Drosophila melanogaster: one gene and its partners. The protein of the gene in region 2 interacts with the protein of the main gene of each other region in a pairwise test. Each region holds a gene or a part of one and is shown on either strand. Other genes may lie near its edges. The genes, in order: CG42353, Drep3, trus and Mfap1.

Region 1 (5,028 bases), on a different chromosome or scaffold from region 2:
AGTCAAAGTCGCTGCTAATACCAAAGCTAAAGCCAAAGACGAAAAACGAAAATTTCCGTCTTGTGAAATAAAAAAGTATATGCATATGCATATGAGGCTGATGCGAAATCCCGGCACCTAAAACACCACAAACCAGACAACAGTCCATCCAGTGCAGTGCAGTTCAGTTCAGTTCAGTTCAGTCCATTCCATTCGCCATCGAAATCGCCCAATTCGAGTACCGTAACCGAACCCCCGAATTAAGCGCACCATGGAATTGTTAAACTCTATGCGACCATCGATTGATTGGCCGACTAAATCCTGAAACCATCATTACGCGCAGATTGCCAGTTAAGCGAACGGAGGCCATGCCCTTGGCATTGTCCACGGATCTGCAAAAGGGGGCATGCCCGCAAAATCGCCTTTTGAAACAGTTCTCACACTAATCCAAAGGAGAGAGGATGGCTCGAGGAGAAGCTCTGTTTTGCTCTGTAAATGGCATGGTACATAATTGCTTAATATCGGTGTCATAAATAGAAAAGCATATTAAGTATAAAGTACAAAAACAACCAAAGTATAGTTGAAAGTTAGTGAATTGGAATTGTAATGGAATTGATACATAGTGATTTAAGATTAAAATTAAATGATTTTTTAAGAACTCAAAACTTAATTCATAAGCCAACTAACAACTAACCAAACAATTGCGATTAGTTATGCCGATTTCAAGTAAATTTTGCTGGTTTCATTTTTTACTTGTAAGGCAAATTGTGAAATAGTGTAGTTAGTTTACTTATTTGTCTGCATAAACTACAGATAAACATAATCAATTTTATTTCGTTTTTCAGTTTGATTAGCCCTAGCTTTATCTAGCGATCACTATTTATTTTATTGTTATTACTGAAAAATAGCACAACGCTAGTCAACCCTAAAAATATAGTAACTACACAAAAAATTTATTTTGTGTAACATACTTTTTTACGTCTGTTTTGAATAAACACCAACAGATGGCGGTAGTTTAGTCTCCAAAAATAGCTACTACGCGCGCTTTTGCAGAACTTGCACTATCCGCTGGATGGCGCTTCACATATTTCTATAATTTCTTACGAGCGTTGCCATATCCACTGATTTTGCTTAAACAATAAGTTTTAGCCGTAACAAACCTACATTGCGGAAATACAATATTTGTAGAAAGTCTCATGTAGCCTTAAAAGAAGTGGTTCCAAATGGGTTCGAAACGCTTAATTGAATATGTAACATTTTACAAAAAAATGTTATCTAAATTTATTTTAAGGCACATGGCAAAAAAAACCGATATTAAGGCTAACGATTTTAAGGTGTGATATTTTTTAAATTGACGTGTTTTCAGTATATTTTGTTAAATTACCATTATTTCCATTCAGCACATACTAAACATTCTTTTAAATTTATTTTTTTAAGAGCCAAATAATTTCATTTCTTACTTTTAATAAATTTCATAATTTGAATTCTCAGCATTCTTATTCCATGCTGCTGGCAACATCATAGGTCGAACTTGTGGCAACGCCTTAAAATATCCTTACTTGAAAAAATAGAACCAAAATAAGCAACACGTTAAGAAATCTCCTGTATAATTTTGTATACCCATTATTTGAAAGTTGGCAAGTATATTTTTGGTTCGTCGACAAGGACCATTGCAGTGGCTTGTTAAGAACAAATTGTTATTTATACATCCTACGTTATAAACATTTAATTTAAAAACATTTCTTTAGCCATAAGAATATACGAAATTAAAACAATCTTCTGATTCAATTAATATGATAAGATATATGCCAATTTCACCCGTTTCTTTCGGTGTAGGCCAGGTCAGCCGGAAATCTTAACTTAAGCCAGAACGAAATCTCGCCAGTCCGGTAGCGCTGCAGATACAATGAATACAAATACAACGCTTTAAGAGAAGCCTATGTTATTAAAAGTGGATCGTATTGTGGATTCCATTTGCCGCAAAAAAAATCGTTGCTGTCGCAGTCAACTTTGAAATCTTGTGGTGAGCGGACGTGTTATTTTTTTGTTTGGTTTTCCCGTTCCCGAACGCCGGAGTACTTTTTGTTGTTAAGTGCGCGTCGTCGTACCGCCGCTATTCTATTGTTCACGTTTGTTTAGGTAATTGTCGTTAAATAAAGTCAAATACAATCACACCGTATATACGGATAGTATCTGTATATTGGCCCTGTATGTCTAACCGCCTTTGCATCTGTGTGTTATATTTACTTTACCATCAAGTACGACAAAATATTCGACTGTTTTTCATTTATTTTTTTTTCGGGCTTTTTGGCTTTGTAACACACATTGTACCACCGATGTACGGCGAAATTAATAATACTCAAAACAGAGAAACATAAAAACAGTGGTGGTTCGTTGGTTCGGTGGGGGAGGGGTTTTTGGGGATCTCAACCACCGCCGATTGTTTATAGTGGTTGTGTGTGTGAACGAACGTTAGTGCGAGTGTGTGTATCTGTATGATTTTGTATCTTTTTGTTGTTGTTGTTGTTGTTGTTTTTGTTTTTGTTGTATTCGTGAGTGAGTGCGGGTTAAAGCAAGAGTTTGTGAAAAAAAAAAAACGAAATAACGTTGGGGGTTTTCTTCAAGACCAACTGGGATCTGGGATATTCTTATTGGCATCCGTCAGTTACTGCGCGGTGAATGAACTCCAATCCGAACTCACACTTTGGCCGTCTAGCTGCCAAACCAACGGAAAAAACGAGGCGCACTAAGCATTAAACGTAAAAAAGAAATATATGTAAAAAATAACAAAAAAAAATGAAGGAAATAACCAAAGCAAGCACAAACTCAAACTCAACTAAAACCACAAAATGGTGGCTGAGACACACAATTATGGCTTATTTTCGAAATATTAACCCAACTGTGCGCAACGGCAATAGCAACAGCAAATAACCATAACAATGACGAAAGCAAAAAGGCAGAAAAAGCAAGAAAACCTAGGTCCAATCAGAAAAAAAAAAGCAAAAGCAAATGAGAGCAGCGGCTGCAGTTTAATGTCTTTCACAGTTGCCTTCAATACGGGCTCTTCCCAAATCGGAACGGACACTGATTCATTTTGGGAACACAAAATCCAAAATCTATTTGGAACGAGACTCCATGCGGAATTAGGGATGCAATTCCCAATTCCGTGGTGGTAAGGGTAAATTTATGCCATAAATCGATCCATGCTATGGACCGTAAAGGTACACTAAAAAAACACACAACAGCACACACACACACACACATTCGAATTTATAAGATTTGAGGAGGGTTGGGCTCTTTGGGATACAATATTTCAAAATAGTCATATTTTTCAGTAAAATGTTTGCTTGTTTTCACATGTTTTTTTTTTATTAAATACAACCATTTATTAACATTTTTCATAACCTACGCAGTGTACGATTTCGTTAACTTTTCGTGTGATTTGTTCAAGGGGTTATTTCGCTCTCAAGACATATGTACATACATACATTCATACATATCTACATATGTATTAAGTGGGTGCAGTTTTTCATACAAAATAATCTTGTTAGCGCCAGCGCATCCAAATTTCGCAAGTTCGAAACCCAATGCAGATGTGTTAAATATTTTGGCTTTGACGTGGTTTCTTTAAATGGCTTCTTGACTCTAGATACTGAATAGTCCTGCTTTCGGGGGGGAAAAAAAAGCCAACTGAATAAAATAATTATGAAGCACCATTTATGGTAAACCTAGAAACTTATACAACAATTTAAACACAATAATAACATATCAATTTCGCGGTCATTCCATTGCTAAATTCTATGCAAAAACTTACACTAACGTTTGTATGTACGTGTGTATTTGGCATAAATTAACAACGTGGAAAATTGTAATTTTTTTTTTCGAACAGTCTGACTGGGAAGGTCTCTGATTGGAGTCTCTCCATCCCCCTCTACCGTTCTGATTAGAATTCAAATTATTATAAGCGAGTACTGTGGCGAGTACACTTGCGCGTGTATTGGTGTGTTTGCTTAGATAATGGGTGCTATCTTATCAGAGGGCTTAATCTTTTGCAAGCTGAAGGCGAAAAAAAAATAATAATAATAAAAAAGCGATCGATGCGAAGCAGCTGCCCGGGGAACAACGTATGTACTAACAGGCTTTACTTTAACAAAACACCGATCGAATGTGCATTTTAGTATGCCTCAACCTTCGGAATTACTCACAGCTACAACCTTTCGTACGTATGTATGTACATTCGTACATCCATATATGTGTGTATCTTGCCAACATGCGAGTTTGGCAAGACGATGACGAGGCCCTTGCTCAGCGAAAAAAAAAAATGCGCCGGGAAAGAATTATGTTCGGAATAGCCGAATTGTGGATATCCTCTAGCCACCAAAAAGCACAAAAATGTTGCAAAAGATGTTGCCTACCTGCGGGCGTATTAGAACGTTCGCGAAAAATTGTGAATCTTAAATTCTAATTGCTTTTGTTATATTTTCTATTTCATTTGATGATCTTTATGAACTAACATTTAATATTCACCTTTAATGCCTATTTTTCCATTTGCTGATTCGTTTATTTCAAGGGTATTTAGCTTCTTATAATATAAATGAATTTATTACATCAGCCTTATCTAAGTTATCAAAATTCGTGTGAAATATCATGAGACCCGGGAGTATACTACATATGTATACAAATTTACTTAAAACTGCTCACTCTCTCGTTCAGTCGTTTCTTTTTAATTGCCTTTTTGCCACCATTTCGGTTGGCTTCTTTCGTAGCTTCACATTTGGCTTCAGTTACTTTTTAGAGTCTGTTGCTCAAGTTACTGCTGATGATGATGATGATGATGATGACGATGATGACGATGAGGCAACCCTTTTTTTTTCAGGCCTTATTAGACGACGCCGACATGCGGTCGCCGGAGAACTACAAAAGTCAATCGTTTTCAAATTATCACAGCCGCCTGCTTCTGCTTCTGCTTCTGTATTCAAATCAATTGGAAAATCAAATGCCCCCGCATTCAGCGGTTGGCGACCGGCACCATTTGCCACTCACTCATCA
Region 2 (4,828 bases):
ATTAAACCAATTATGGCCAGGACCGTTGCACGTAGGTATCCTTACACAGGAAATACACAAAATAATGAAGTATGCCATTAAGGGGGGGAAATGTAATTGCTTGTTACATGGCGGCAAGGTCGATGCCAGTGCTTTTTTTCTCTCATTATTTTCCATTTCACATTTATTTTAATTTAATTAAAATGTTTGCCATTTTCTTTTATACATTTTTGGTTTGCCCCGCATCGAAATGCTATTTTTTTCCATTTAATTTCATTTAGACTGCTGACAGCAGGCGCAAATATTTGGCATTTACCCGTACCACTGCCTTATGTGTTTTTCGCCTGACGAGTTTTTGGCGAAAAGTGCCACATATCCAAGGACCAGGATCAGAGGCCATTTATCATCGCCACATGCGGCGGCATGACCTTTCCGACGACATGTGAGTTAATTAATCTAACTGGCCAGACGGCCAAGGTCGTGCATCGCAATTAAACATGGCAGCTGATGATGAAGGGAATTTACCTTCGCGACCAGACGCATAAATTTCAATTTGCACCTATGCATTTAAATTGATGGCGATGGAGGTCCTGCAGCAGGACCAGCATGCTGCATATGCGAAATGCGAATAGTTGTTCGCGCCGCGCTTCAATGCGCAATTAGCGGACCATGGCCCATAAATTATTTGACCCGCCGGCGGGGGAAAATGGGAAATGGAAAATGGCGGACGGAAATGAATGCCCAGCAGGGCGAATAAACAGATGAGCGTGCAAAATTCGCCCAGCAATCCGAATCCGCTTGGGCCTAAAGTATGCACTTCAGGTAGTTGGGACAAGGACCAGGCTCAAAATGCGTAAACGAGATAACAGGCCCACAGATATATTGTTATCCATCACGTGACTGCAGTTGGAATCACGTGCTCAGTCCATGTTCAATGCCGAACTTCCGTAAGCGGGCGCAATCAAATTAACCTTGGCTCACGCGGCGTATGCGCAATATTTCAGCCATTTAAGCCCAGTGCTGTGATAAATGCAGCTAAGTGGCTTTGTTTGCTCCCAATGCGAACAAATTCGATCGACGTACAGCGTCTCATGCATTTTAAATATTCCGCCAATGCAAATGCCAATAAATCTCGGCTTTTGTCTCGCCCTCAAAGGCAATGCACCTTTGTTGAAAACTTTTGCCCAGCTCTGGGATGCTTTAATTATGCAGCCAGCAGCAGTCTCATTATGCCGAAGTGACATTTTTCAGCTGGACGCCAGAGTTTTTCGCCGAAATTGCAAACTTTATTTTTATTGCATTTTTAAACTTTGCCCTTAAGCGCCTGAAAGTTCAGGCTAAAATATTTATATTTGCCATCACGCCCCGCAAATACACTGTGCTGTTTGTATTCGTTTTTATCTTCTTGTGGTCCCGGCTAAGTAGAACTATTTGCAGCTGCTCCAGTAAACTTTTCCCACCTTCCAGGTCATAGAATCCCGATCCCAGGCCAGAGTTCTTTTGTGCCAACTTTACTTTATCCGGCATAGGGTCTATGCTTCTGGCCCGGCACGCCCAGCGTGTCCTGGCTAACAGGAGCCTTAACAGAGCGCTCGCTCTCTCTCTCTCTCTCTCTCTTTGCCTCTCTTTGCGAGTGTCCTGCTCTCACGGCCAAAGCTCCGCGAAGGTTAGACTTTGCTGTGTGTTTGCAGGACCTGCTGACTTTGCGCCGTGTGTGTTTGCGCTGGCCGAGGCTGTCGGCAAACTCGACGAGTCCTGCCACGTTTAAATACAGCACGCACAGACGTCTGGCAATTTATTCCAAGTTCGGCCGGCTTTTGTTGCACTTGGCTGCTGTGAGTAGTCGGCTCGCGATCTCAGCCAGAATCGCGTATTGTAATTGTTGCCGGAAGATGTGAAGAATTCGGTTTTTAACTTAAAGTGCACGGTAATGAGAAACAAAATGTTGCTTCTAGAGTTCAGAGTATATAAACCAACTATCTTTTTGTCTAAAAGAGGCTTGTGGAAATTATGGAAAATAATTAGTTTAGCTTTCATGATAAAAAACAACAAGCAAGCACATGCAAACTATATTCTTTTAGACTTATAATTGCCTCTATAAATTTAAATGAAGTTTTACCAAACAAAAAAGTTGGCCAATTATATTCGTTTGAAAAACTCTAAACACGTTTCTGCATCGTCATATATGGAGCTTTACTATCAAATACAGGACACCAAAATTGAAATAGTGCAAATTACATTACTATATAAAATTAAAAAAATAATAATATTTTGTAGATATTTTTTTTAAGTCGTTGGTAAAAATGTACAGTATTTAAAGAGCCGATGGTGAAATTGTAATGCAATAACATTCCATGGTCTCCTTCTTTTTTTTTTGGTCTCTATAAACTTCGTTTTCTATGTGGCTTTAAGGTCAAGCAATTTCAGCAATTGCAAAACTTTTTTAAATCAAAGCCAAAACAAAGGCCAAACAACGATTTCGTTATAAATTTTCCGGTCGAAGCAAACAACGTACACGCGTATATGAAATAACAATAACACAAAGTCTGGCAGTTTTAGTATGCTTGGCTCAGCTTTGAAAGCATCCCCGAATGCCATACAGCATATTTCAATTATCGTCTAAATTTGTTTTGCTCGTCATAAATCTCTTTCTCTTTCGACCATGTTTTTCAACCAGTGCAGCAAGGAGTCCAGACAAGGCGAACAAACTCTCGAGACGAGGTAAATACATGACAGCAATGAATGCGGATGAGACAAAGCTGGCTGGAATGCCTCAAGGAGCTGAGGAGGAGCAGGAACCGGAGAGGGAGCAGAAGAAGGAGAGCGATGGAGCAGCAGCTGCAGCAGGAGTACAGTGTGATCCTGATAGCAGAATAGTGGCTCCGCCGCCCAGGCAGCGGACTCTGACAAGGACGGCCGAACTGGACGCGGACTGCGAGGACATCGAGTTAGATGCCGACGATGGTTTGGACGATGCGGCGGATAGCATCACCTTGGAGTTGGCCCTATCGCCGCACAGCAGCGCCACGCCCACGCCCTCGCCCACCACCGCCGACGAGGATTTCGCCCAGCTGGACAACAGCAAGCCCTTCAAGGTGGGTATTCCACTCGCTACTCGCACATCCTTCATGTCCTTTGTGGCATTTAGCCACGCTACCTGGCGCCCCGTCATCTGGGCCAGCATTTCGTTAAGTGATTACTGCGGTGCTATTGTTACGCTTGATGGGTATATAGTAAAAAAAAAATAGAAAAAATTAAACTGAAAATGGAGGAAAAAGTTTGACGGTCAGGACGAACAAAGTGAAGGGTTCCCCGACGGAACGGCCACTTCAAAGCCTTCGGCGTTGAGTGGCATCATCGACATTGGCACTGCTGCTGAAGTGTTGCTACCGGTGCTTTATTCGCCCTTTAAGCATTCGTCCAACTTTTCAATTCGCTGCAAGAGTTGGTGCGGGAAAAAATCCGGGAAAACAGAGCTGTTTCCTTTTGCCCTACCAGCAGCCCACTCCGCACTGCCTTCACCATGGCAAACTCCATTTGATTGTGAGGATTGCGTGGCCCTGCCCAATTTGGAGCACAGAAAGAAATGATTAGGGTCACAAATAGTCGCTGTCAATTCTGCAAAGTTTACGAAACAATTTACGCATCCGTTTACCTATTTACGAAACTTTTAACTCTAAAAACTGTGTGTGAAAGATACAACACATCGACACTTGCAAGAATAAAACGATTCTGTTTAGTATTGATATGATTTAACTTAATTGAACTTGAATGTCCTTATTTTGATGATCCTATATCCAATTACCCACTTATAGTAAGCCATGCTCAGTAAATCACTAACACTATCAATACAATATAGTATAGACCATATTTCACCCTCTACTCAGATTAGCTTCTTGCAAATTTTTTGCCTGTGTGGCTGGTCAACAATGAAAATTTAATTAAAATGTTCAAACTGTTCAGTTGCATAGGGTAGTGGGATCAGGATGCGGGCGCCCAATTGTCTCGTATATCATTGTGGGCCAGCCAGCTGGCCAATCATCCAGCCATTCCGCCAATCGCCTCCAGTGCCACGCCCACATCTAAGCCGCCTTGTGGCGTCTGTGTGGGCGGCGATAACTATAAGTAGGTGTCTTGGCCACGCCAGCTGAACACCCTAATCGATGTATTGTGTGTTAACGGCATCAGAGCGATGGCCATAACAATATAAACTGGCCAAAAGATCGGCGTCTACGAGATATCAAGTGGCTGTAAATTTGCCAGGCGAAAGCAATTAATTGACGGCTTGACGTGGCCGAAACGCGATGTCATTTGTCAGTGGCAACCGACCGGTGATGATGATGATGATGGGTGAGCGTGGGCCACGTGACGTATGCGTAATTCATGCGCATTCCAGCTAATTAATAAGCCTCCATCTTGTCTGCCATCTGACACGGGCATCTTCTTTATCGAGCTCTCGGGGAAATTGCCAAGGTTCTGATTAAAAACACTGGATGATATAATCCTGGAGATATAATCCCTTTGACTAATTCCAGAAACAACTAAATGAGAGTGAAAATTAAGGAAAGGGTTGGTAGTCAGAGGCCAACACATGAATGCGTGAGGTAGGGTTAATAATATCCTGTGTTCACGTATTGGCCCTTAGGTTCTTCTCGGTATGAAAATAATTTGCATCTCTTCTACTTAATATCAGATAGTTCAATTAATTCGATGGTTACCATGACTGATTTGCAGTTTGGTTTACTCACAAGGTTAAATTGGTTTAGATCTACCGCTGAACTGAAAACTCATAGCAGTGCTGCCACACAGAAAGACATTTTTGACTTGAAAATATGAATACCTTAAAAAA
Region 3 (3,971 bases), on a different chromosome or scaffold from region 2:
TACCGTCCTGTGCAACTGGTGGAGTACTATCGCTACATTCGCTTTCTGCCCGATGGCAAGGTGCTGATGATGACGACTGCCGATGAGCCGGCGCAAGGTGTATCCAAACTGAAGCACGTGAACAACGTACGGGCGGAAATGCTTCGGGGTCGCTATCGTCTCTTCGGGAGCACAGTCACTCTGGTGCTGCAAAAGTCGCAGCAGCGAGGGCCGGCTAACGTGCGGCAGAGGCGAGGGAGTATCATGCCAGTGGATGAGGACTCCTCACAGTTCCTGATCGAGCTGCGCATCGCAGGCACCACCAAGCGCCGATGCGCCCAGTTGGTTTGGTCACATTACACGCTCGTGCAGAAGCGCAACAAGGTGGACATCAGCTCCGAGTTCGATTTGACCGAGGCCAAATATCCGGCGCTGAGGTTCTCAACCGTAAAGAGCTACCATCTTGATGCTGATGCACCATTGGCTTAGGTTAATTAGAATTAGAATGGATTTCTGCAAGTTGGAAATAAAACAATATGTTTTGAAACCCTTTTAGAGGGGGAGTGGAAATAACGAGATATTATTAGCAACTATCCATTTTTGGAGTGTCTAAAAGCTTACAACGTTCTTAACAACTAGAGCATAAAATCTTCCTAGGACAATCGAGAAGCTTAGCTTTATCTCTGCAGTTTGCGTTTAAAATTCGTTGCACCAGTCTGCAATCGTAGCGGCTACAGCGAATGACTCTAATGGCTTTGGGAAATGGCCGTGTACGGCACCTTAAGTTTCAGACTGAACCACAATATGTTCGTAGCGCATCAGGTCGGGTGTGTCCCAGCAGCTCTTGAGGCAGGTGAAGACCAGCACGTTGCCAAACTCGATTGGTGCATTGCAACCGTTCACCTGGAACCGCAGCTTGGGAATCAGTGTGGGCAGCAGCTGCACCTCGCAGATGGTCTCTCCCCTGCAATTCTGGCACTTGGGCAGAGGTTCCGTGAACGGGGCCACCAACAGCGGGATCGTATCCCGCGAATATCTGAAGCAGAACAACTTGGGTAAGAGGAAAGTTAATGAGGATAGAAGTACAATGTTTACCTCAACAGCTGGCCCGGATTCTGATGGATGGTAGTGATAAAGTTGTGAAACACCAAATCGCCATGGGCTGGCAATGCCTTCTCGTAGGACTCGTTCTCATCGCCCTGCTCTCCTGGTCCAGATGCACCGCCGGTCGGTGACTGACCCGGATTCTGGTCTCTCAGCTTGTACTCCTGATACAAATCACGAATGTGGTCCATGGACAAAGCGCCTCCGAAGTTTTCGTACTCCTCCGCCTGGGTCTTGTTCTCTACATCGACGGCAATATAGTAAGACTTTAGCGTTAGGTCCTTGATCTGCGACAGCGCACCCGAGGTGTGCTTCAACAAGGCAATCAGGTCGCGTTCCGGCTTCTTGGGCGTGTCGACCAGCACCAGATCCGTTTCGGGACCCTCGATCTCAGCACCAATGGCCGCTGAGGCGGCACTGGCTCCAGCTCCATCCAAACTGGGAGCGGCGGCCGCTGCACAATTAGCATTTGGATCATCGTCGGCGTTTTGCGGCGAGATCATGTCCATTTGATGAAAGCCAGAGATCAATTCGTTCTCCAGCGAAGTGCTCTCGTCCTCGTCGTCGTCATCATCGGCGGCAATCTTTACCTGCTCAAGTTTGGCTGGTTCATCTATTTGGATGTCTGACTTGGCGTACTGCAGGGCATTCGGTCGCACATTGCCATTCCGTTCGTTCTGGTCGTCGTCCGCGGTGATGTCCATAGCCTCGTCCAATGCCACGGAGATGGTCTTGGCCTGTTCGGTTGCTCCACCACTGCTGTCGCCCCAGTCGTCCGCTCCACTACACCAGCTGATAGCCTGCAATCCGCTCGACTTCCCCTTTTTTTTGGAGTTCTGCTTCTTAGTTGGCGTTGCCTTCGGCGAATGCTCACTGATCACCTCGTACTGGTGGTCCAGGTGCTGAGTGCGCACACAACACCAGCTCTTTGAATTCTGAGAGCAAACTGGGTTCATGCATCCAAAAACGTAAAGGCTGCGATGGAATTGGGAGCGATCCAGCGGGGCGTACATCTGCACGATCAGTGGACGCACTGCACCGCACAGCGGGCATGACGGAATGGTCACCTCGTGTCTGGGCCAATCCTGTGGGTAAAAATCAATTTCAATTATCCGCTGCCTCTATTGAAGTCGATGCAATCGCCTATCTTACGGGTGTGCCACCGATTTTGTTTGTGCAACTGTTCAGGAGCTGCTCCTGCTTGGCCGTAACCTCCTCATCCTCGTATCCTAGGTACACAGTCGACTTATTCTTGGCCATTTTTCATGGTTTCATTCAAGTCTTTCAAAATTGAATGATTTCTTTTAGGAATGGGCGAAATGAGTGCTCATGGGCAGACAACCGATAGTTGCACATGGTACTATCGATTTTAAAAGATATCGACTCATCGTAATCGAGTGTGCGAATTTCAAAGTATGAAATCTAGGCAGTTCAAAAATATATCAAATAGTTGAAAAATGAAATAAAAGCACAAAATTCTATTATTAATGAGTAGCACACAAGTAAGATCCATAACAACTATTATTTTCTTAAAATTCGTTATATATTTCTTATAATACTCCAAATTTGTGGTTTACTATCTTATATTTGCACAATCGCCGCTTAAAATAAATAAACGCACATATACAATACACACATATAAAAACATAGACAACTAGATTACAATTACGTTTTTTGGAATGCCAACATTAAAATACGTATATTTAGCAACAATAGCGCGCAACAACACTTATCAGTTATTGTCTAGGAAGACGACGCAGTCGCACGGATTTAAAGCATTCCGAGGAATTTAACAAACACGGACAAATGGCCCTAGCCCTAGAGTTCTAACAAGAACCTGCATCTAATACTCTAGATCCTCTGAGTCCCACAACGGAATTACTTCTCCAACGCCTCCTGCTCGCGGTGCTGCCGCTTGAAGCCCCACTCTACGAAGACGAAGGCAATGGTGCCAATGGTTCCCATAACCACCAGGATGCCCAGCTGCACGTACAGCCCGAAGTGCGAGGAGTAGAAGAAGCTAATGGCCGCCGCCACCGACTGGGTGAACTTGAACAGGGCAAAGGCTCCCACGGCATTGTTCACATACTCCCCGCCAAGCATGGAGTAGATCTGAGTGTTGAAACAGGCATCGCCCAGGCCCAAAAGGAAGGCACACACCAAGGCGATGCTGGCTCGGGGCGGGTCCAGATAGGATATATCGGTGGTATCTTTAAACGGTGCACTGTTCGGCAGGTTGATGAACGTCATGAAGAAGGCTGCCATGTGCATCACATAGCCGGCAATCACGATGGGATCGCGTCCATATCTCGTCGTCTTGTTGCCCAGTATGCCGAATAGTCCTCCTCCAAAGACCTCGCCGGCTCCAATGCAAATGCCCACCAGTCCAACGATCTCCTTCGGTGTTTCGGCTATTTTCGTGGTGAATCCAATCGCTGATCCAAAAACTCCGCTAAAGAATGACAGCTCCAGGCCTAGAAAGTTATGTTTAAGCACTTAGTATCTCTGATTCTATTCAGTTTTGACCACAATCCAACCCACCTGTGTAAAAGAAGGCCAGACTAAGGAGCAGCATCTTTTTGGTGAGGAACAATTGTCCTGCGGACTTCAATGCGTATATGGCCTGTCCACAGCCCGTGTGCTTCTGTTCCAGCTCGTTGTCGTGCTCGGCATTATCGGCCATGAATCTCAGTGCGGCCAGAAACACGATGCCCAGCACAGCAATTACCGTGAGCACGCCGATGACCAGATTCCGTGTCTCCTTGTCGATGCGGGTCTTGTCCTGGAACTGATAGTACACGAACAGATTCCCAATGAACATGCTGCACTGCAGCAGGGCCCAGAAGACGCCAGAGTTACGGGAAATCGTGGAAGATTCACTGCAGCGC
Region 4 (3,910 bases), on a different chromosome or scaffold from region 2:
CAACGTTCGAGGAGACCTACAAGTTCAAACCCTCCTCCGTACTGGAACACCCTCGCTTGCTGTATGGCTTGCACTTTATGCTCGGCAAAGACATAGTGCCAAAGGCCAACGAAATGAAAGGCAAGCCTAACTAGAAATCTTATTCCAACTAGTGGCTAATCGGTAATCTCCCACAGTCATCATTCACAGCGCCGGCGGCAAGGTTCATGCCCAACCGCCTTCGCTGGCCATCAGCGTGGATCTGTACGTGGTCACCACCAGCAAGGATACGAAATCTAAGCGACGTCTGAACAACTATGAAAAGGTGCACTTCATCAAAACCGAGGCTGTTATGCAGGCGCTCGTTCAACACAACATTGAAATGCTACAGGAGCACACGCTCAAACTTTAAACGTTATAGTTTTTTTTTTTGTGTGTTCTCCGCTTTTTGTTATCATTCGTTAGCCATTATTCCAAAATTGTACATCACACATCGAAGTCCCAGACGAAATCTCGTTCATACCTTAAACTTATGATATTTGTATTATATATAATTGTTTGTATATGAAGTTTTGGTTCCATCATAACTGTGGCCGCACAATATTTACTTGTTACTTTCCTAATGCCTGTCAAATACATCAATTACATACGTCTAACACTACTCCATCTTTTTTCGCTTCGAGCCGGTGGGCTTGTCAAACTGCTGCCTCATGCCGCCGGCGTGTTCGTTGTGGAACTTGATGTTGCTGGATGACTCGGCGTACCAGGGCGAGTCGAACTTGGTGGTGTCCTGGTCCACTAAATGAGTGTACTTGGTGCGGCCGCAGCGGCCGAAGTTCTTCACCTGCATCACCTTGGGCAGAATGGTCTTATCGAAGTGATCCTCCAGCGTGGCCTGGGCGAAGTCGCGCTTGAGGACGTCGTTCTCCTCATCCAGGTAGAAGGCACCACGATGATAGTACTTCTGCAGGAACTTGTACTTGCCCTTGGTGGCCTTGTTGGTGACCACCTTGGGGTTCTGGCGCAGCTCCTGGCGTCGCTCCTCTTCGGTCATGTTGCGCATGCGATCAATGTCCAGCTTCTCGCGTTCGACGCTGAAAGAAAAGGGAAAGAATTGTTAAAAAGGAATTCTAAGAGCAGTTTGATGTTCACTTACTTATCACGTTCCTCGCGATCCCGCTTCATTCGCTTGAGTTCACGCAGCTTCCAGGCCTCGTATTCCACCTCGTCGTTTTCGTCGTCCGTGCACACGTCCTCGATGCAGGCCTCATTGGTCTCCGGCTTGGTCTTCTCCAGATCTTTCTTGACGCTCTCCTCGACCATTCGCAGGGTGGCTCTTCTGCGCTCCTTGGCTGCCCGCTTGGCCTCCGCCTCCAGCTGCTTCTGCTTCTGAGCCTCTCGCTCCTTCTCCTGGATGGTGGCACGATCTCTCTTTCGGACGAAGAGCGGCTTCAGGCGGGGTTCGTTGTCCTCCTCGCTTTCGGTCTCCTCCTCGTACTCGGAGCTTTCTGATTCGGACGATTCCGACTGTTTCTCATCCTCTTTCTGTAGAACCTCCTCCTCGCGCTGCTGCTGCAGCATGCGGGATCTCAGCTTGGTGCGCCGGTTCTCCAGCTCTGTGTCGCTGAGCTCCGCATCCGTGTCGGATTCGGATGCCAGTGTGATCTTATTGGTGCCCCGCTGAATCGCTCCCTGTGCTCCCTCGTCTTCCTCCTCGTCTTCGCTGTCACTCTCCATGATTTCCGGTTCGTGGATGTGTCGGTGGCGTTCCCTCCGCTCACGTTCCATGTCCTCCATGTCTACGGGTCGCTGCCGCAATCTTCGGAGGCGTGGATCGTCCACCTCGGCATCGTCCTCCTCCTGGCCCTCACCCGCCGCCCGCTCTTCGCCCTCCGCGCTGCCGCCTTGACGGGAGAGCTCCAGCTTATGCCGTTCCGCCTTGTGGCGCTCAAGGCGCTTCCTGGTGTCAATGAAGTCATCGTCGTCGCTCTCCTCCGAACTGGAGTCCGCACGGGCGTAGTCGGGTCGCTTACCGGATATGTATCGCTGCACCTTCACCTTTTGCATGGACAATTCACCTATTGAAGAGATATGCAGCTTATAAACAATTTCTGGTGAGGATCGAGCTTCGCTGTTTACCTTTCTCATTGCGCATGGGAATGGCGCCCGCTGTGCTCTGGATCCCAGAAGCGGCGGCGGCGGCGGTGGCTGCACTCATCGTGGTTTTAACTTATAATCCACGGGTAATAAGCAAATCTTTGTATTTATTCCTTGTAAATATTTCCTAAATAAAAGTATGGTAAATTAGAGATGGACAAAAGTATCTGAAAATAATCGATACTTTGCTTACAAATATTATCGATGCCTATGCAGCTCAGCAAAACCAGAGTGGCAACGCTATCGAACAAGGCCCGCAATTTGAAATATTAAGAAAGTTTTACTACATATATATGGTGAATATTGAATTGCAATGACGGAAGTGCGATGACTTCGCAAAGCCAGAATTAAGGCCAGCAACTAATTGAGACATTCGATAATTGAAAATATTAATACACAGAAAGAAATGGAGCAATTTATTGTTAGACAACTATATATTGGAAAAAACTATTGAAAGTAAGAAATTCATTTTCATTTAAGCTTTTTTGGATTGCAAAAAATTTAAACATATATATTGGGTTCCTTGGTGAAAAGGAAAATGTTCTTTTCTGTGCTGTTTTTATAAACAAGTGTTTTAGCAATGTCAACGCCCACTCTCATTAGTAAATTAATTGACTACTACGCTTTCTCCAATTCCCATACGATGGATAGAGGGAGGACGGAGGAGGGGTGCTTGATCTTGTGTAATGCCGGAATCGAATCCAAAATTCTTTTTATTGGTATTGCGTATTTTCAGTTTCGACAGCACGCAGCCAGCACGTGTGAAGATTGTCTTGTAATGTTTGAAAAACCGTTCGGATCTGATGTGATGTGATTTGATACCCACCCAACCGGACCAAAGTCCGAAAGAACCACTTGGCGGACGAGGGGCTCGACCAGTTTTGTGACGTCTTCGGCCACTTGCATCCGAGGAACAGAGTTAGCTGGATTTGCTTTGGATATGGATGGGGATGGGGATTTGGAATGGAATGGAATTGGAATGGCATGGGATGGGATCGTTTCGGGCCTAAACACCGAGACGCATTTGCCGAACTGCTTTTAACTGCTTTTCGTCGGCTGAGGTAGTTGAATGGCCAAGATTTACATGAGACTGTTAGTTAACGACATGGCGGGCATATTTAATTAATGCAACACGCTTCATGCTTAAGTGCATATCTGCCTAGCTAACTCACTGACCTTTAGAAAAATGGGCGTCGATTTGGTGACTTTCCGCTTGGGGGGAAGTACCTGCTGAATATTTGGAGACCCCCTTTCTTTTTGCCACTACATACTAGATATGTACATACATTTTACATTTATCAATTTATTGCGATTTGAACTCTTTTTGAACTGACCGGCGCCGTTTCAGTTCAAATTTAAATTCAAACTGGGAATACATTTCAATTAGAATTAAACACCCACACTGGCGCACAGGAATTGTAAACAAATAATTTTCTATTAGCGGGAGAAAGAGTGTCATTCCTGATCAAAATCGTACCAGATCGAACTCGTTATCGTTATCCAAGTAAAACACCACATAGCCAGCAATTGAGGCGAGGCGACAAGTGTACAAAAAACGAAAGATATAATCGTTTCCATTATTAATTGGCGCACTTTTTGCCTTTGTGACTCGAGTTACTTAAAAAGTAATAAAGGGTGAGACAAATGGAAATATTTACACATCACGCAATCCCAAACTGGCCAAGAACCAGCAATTAAACTTTTATGTTTGTTTACAGCGCATTTCACTTGGCTCAACTTGCCACAATTAACAATCGCCATCGAGGGATATGCA

What was found.
Region 1: the proteins of Drep3 (region 2) and CG42353 interact in a two-hybrid assay, tested with the Drosophila melanogaster proteins (one large-scale study listed by BioGRID).
Region 3: the proteins of Drep3 (region 2) and trus interact in a two-hybrid assay, tested with the Drosophila melanogaster proteins (one large-scale study listed by BioGRID).
Region 4: the proteins of Drep3 (region 2) and Mfap1 interact in a two-hybrid assay, tested with the Drosophila melanogaster proteins (one large-scale study listed by BioGRID).

The regions. Positions count from the first base shown.
Region 1 is NC_004354.4:16,101,894-16,106,921, reverse strand, and holds the start of CG42353 (uncharacterized protein), read left to right. Parts: upstream 1-1,975; 5' UTR 1,976-2,118; intron 2,119-3,868; exon of another isoform or gene 3,869-4,103; intron 4,104-5,028.
Region 2 is NT_033778.4:12,053,313-12,058,140, forward strand, and holds the start of Drep3 (DNA fragmentation factor-related protein 3), read left to right. Parts: upstream 1-1,776; 5' UTR 1,777-1,906; intron 1,907-2,656; exon of another isoform or gene 2,657-2,661; 5' UTR 2,662-2,708; coding exon 2,709-3,074; exon of another isoform or gene 3,075-3,235; intron 3,236-4,828.
Region 3 is NT_033777.3:12,454,996-12,458,966, reverse strand, and holds trus (toys are us), read right to left. Parts: upstream 2,395-3,971; 5' UTR 2,344-2,394; coding exon 2,236-2,343; intron 2,169-2,235; coding exon 1,075-2,168; intron 1,016-1,074; coding exon 760-1,015; 3' UTR 523-759; downstream 1-522. Other genes in the region: CG5961 (uncharacterized protein), read left to right, coding at 1-468; CG18549 (uncharacterized protein), read right to left, coding at 2,962-3,557, 3,625-3,971.
Region 4 is NT_037436.4:1,939,463-1,943,372, reverse strand, and holds Mfap1 (Microfibril-associated protein 1), read right to left. Parts: upstream 2,306-3,910; 5' UTR 2,198-2,305; coding exon 2,119-2,197; intron 2,058-2,118; coding exon 1,136-2,057; intron 1,074-1,135; coding exon 638-1,073; 3' UTR 501-637; downstream 1-500. Other genes in the region: mu2 (mutator 2), read left to right, coding at 1-120, 177-391. UniProt on the Drosophila melanogaster protein: Required for pre-mRNA splicing.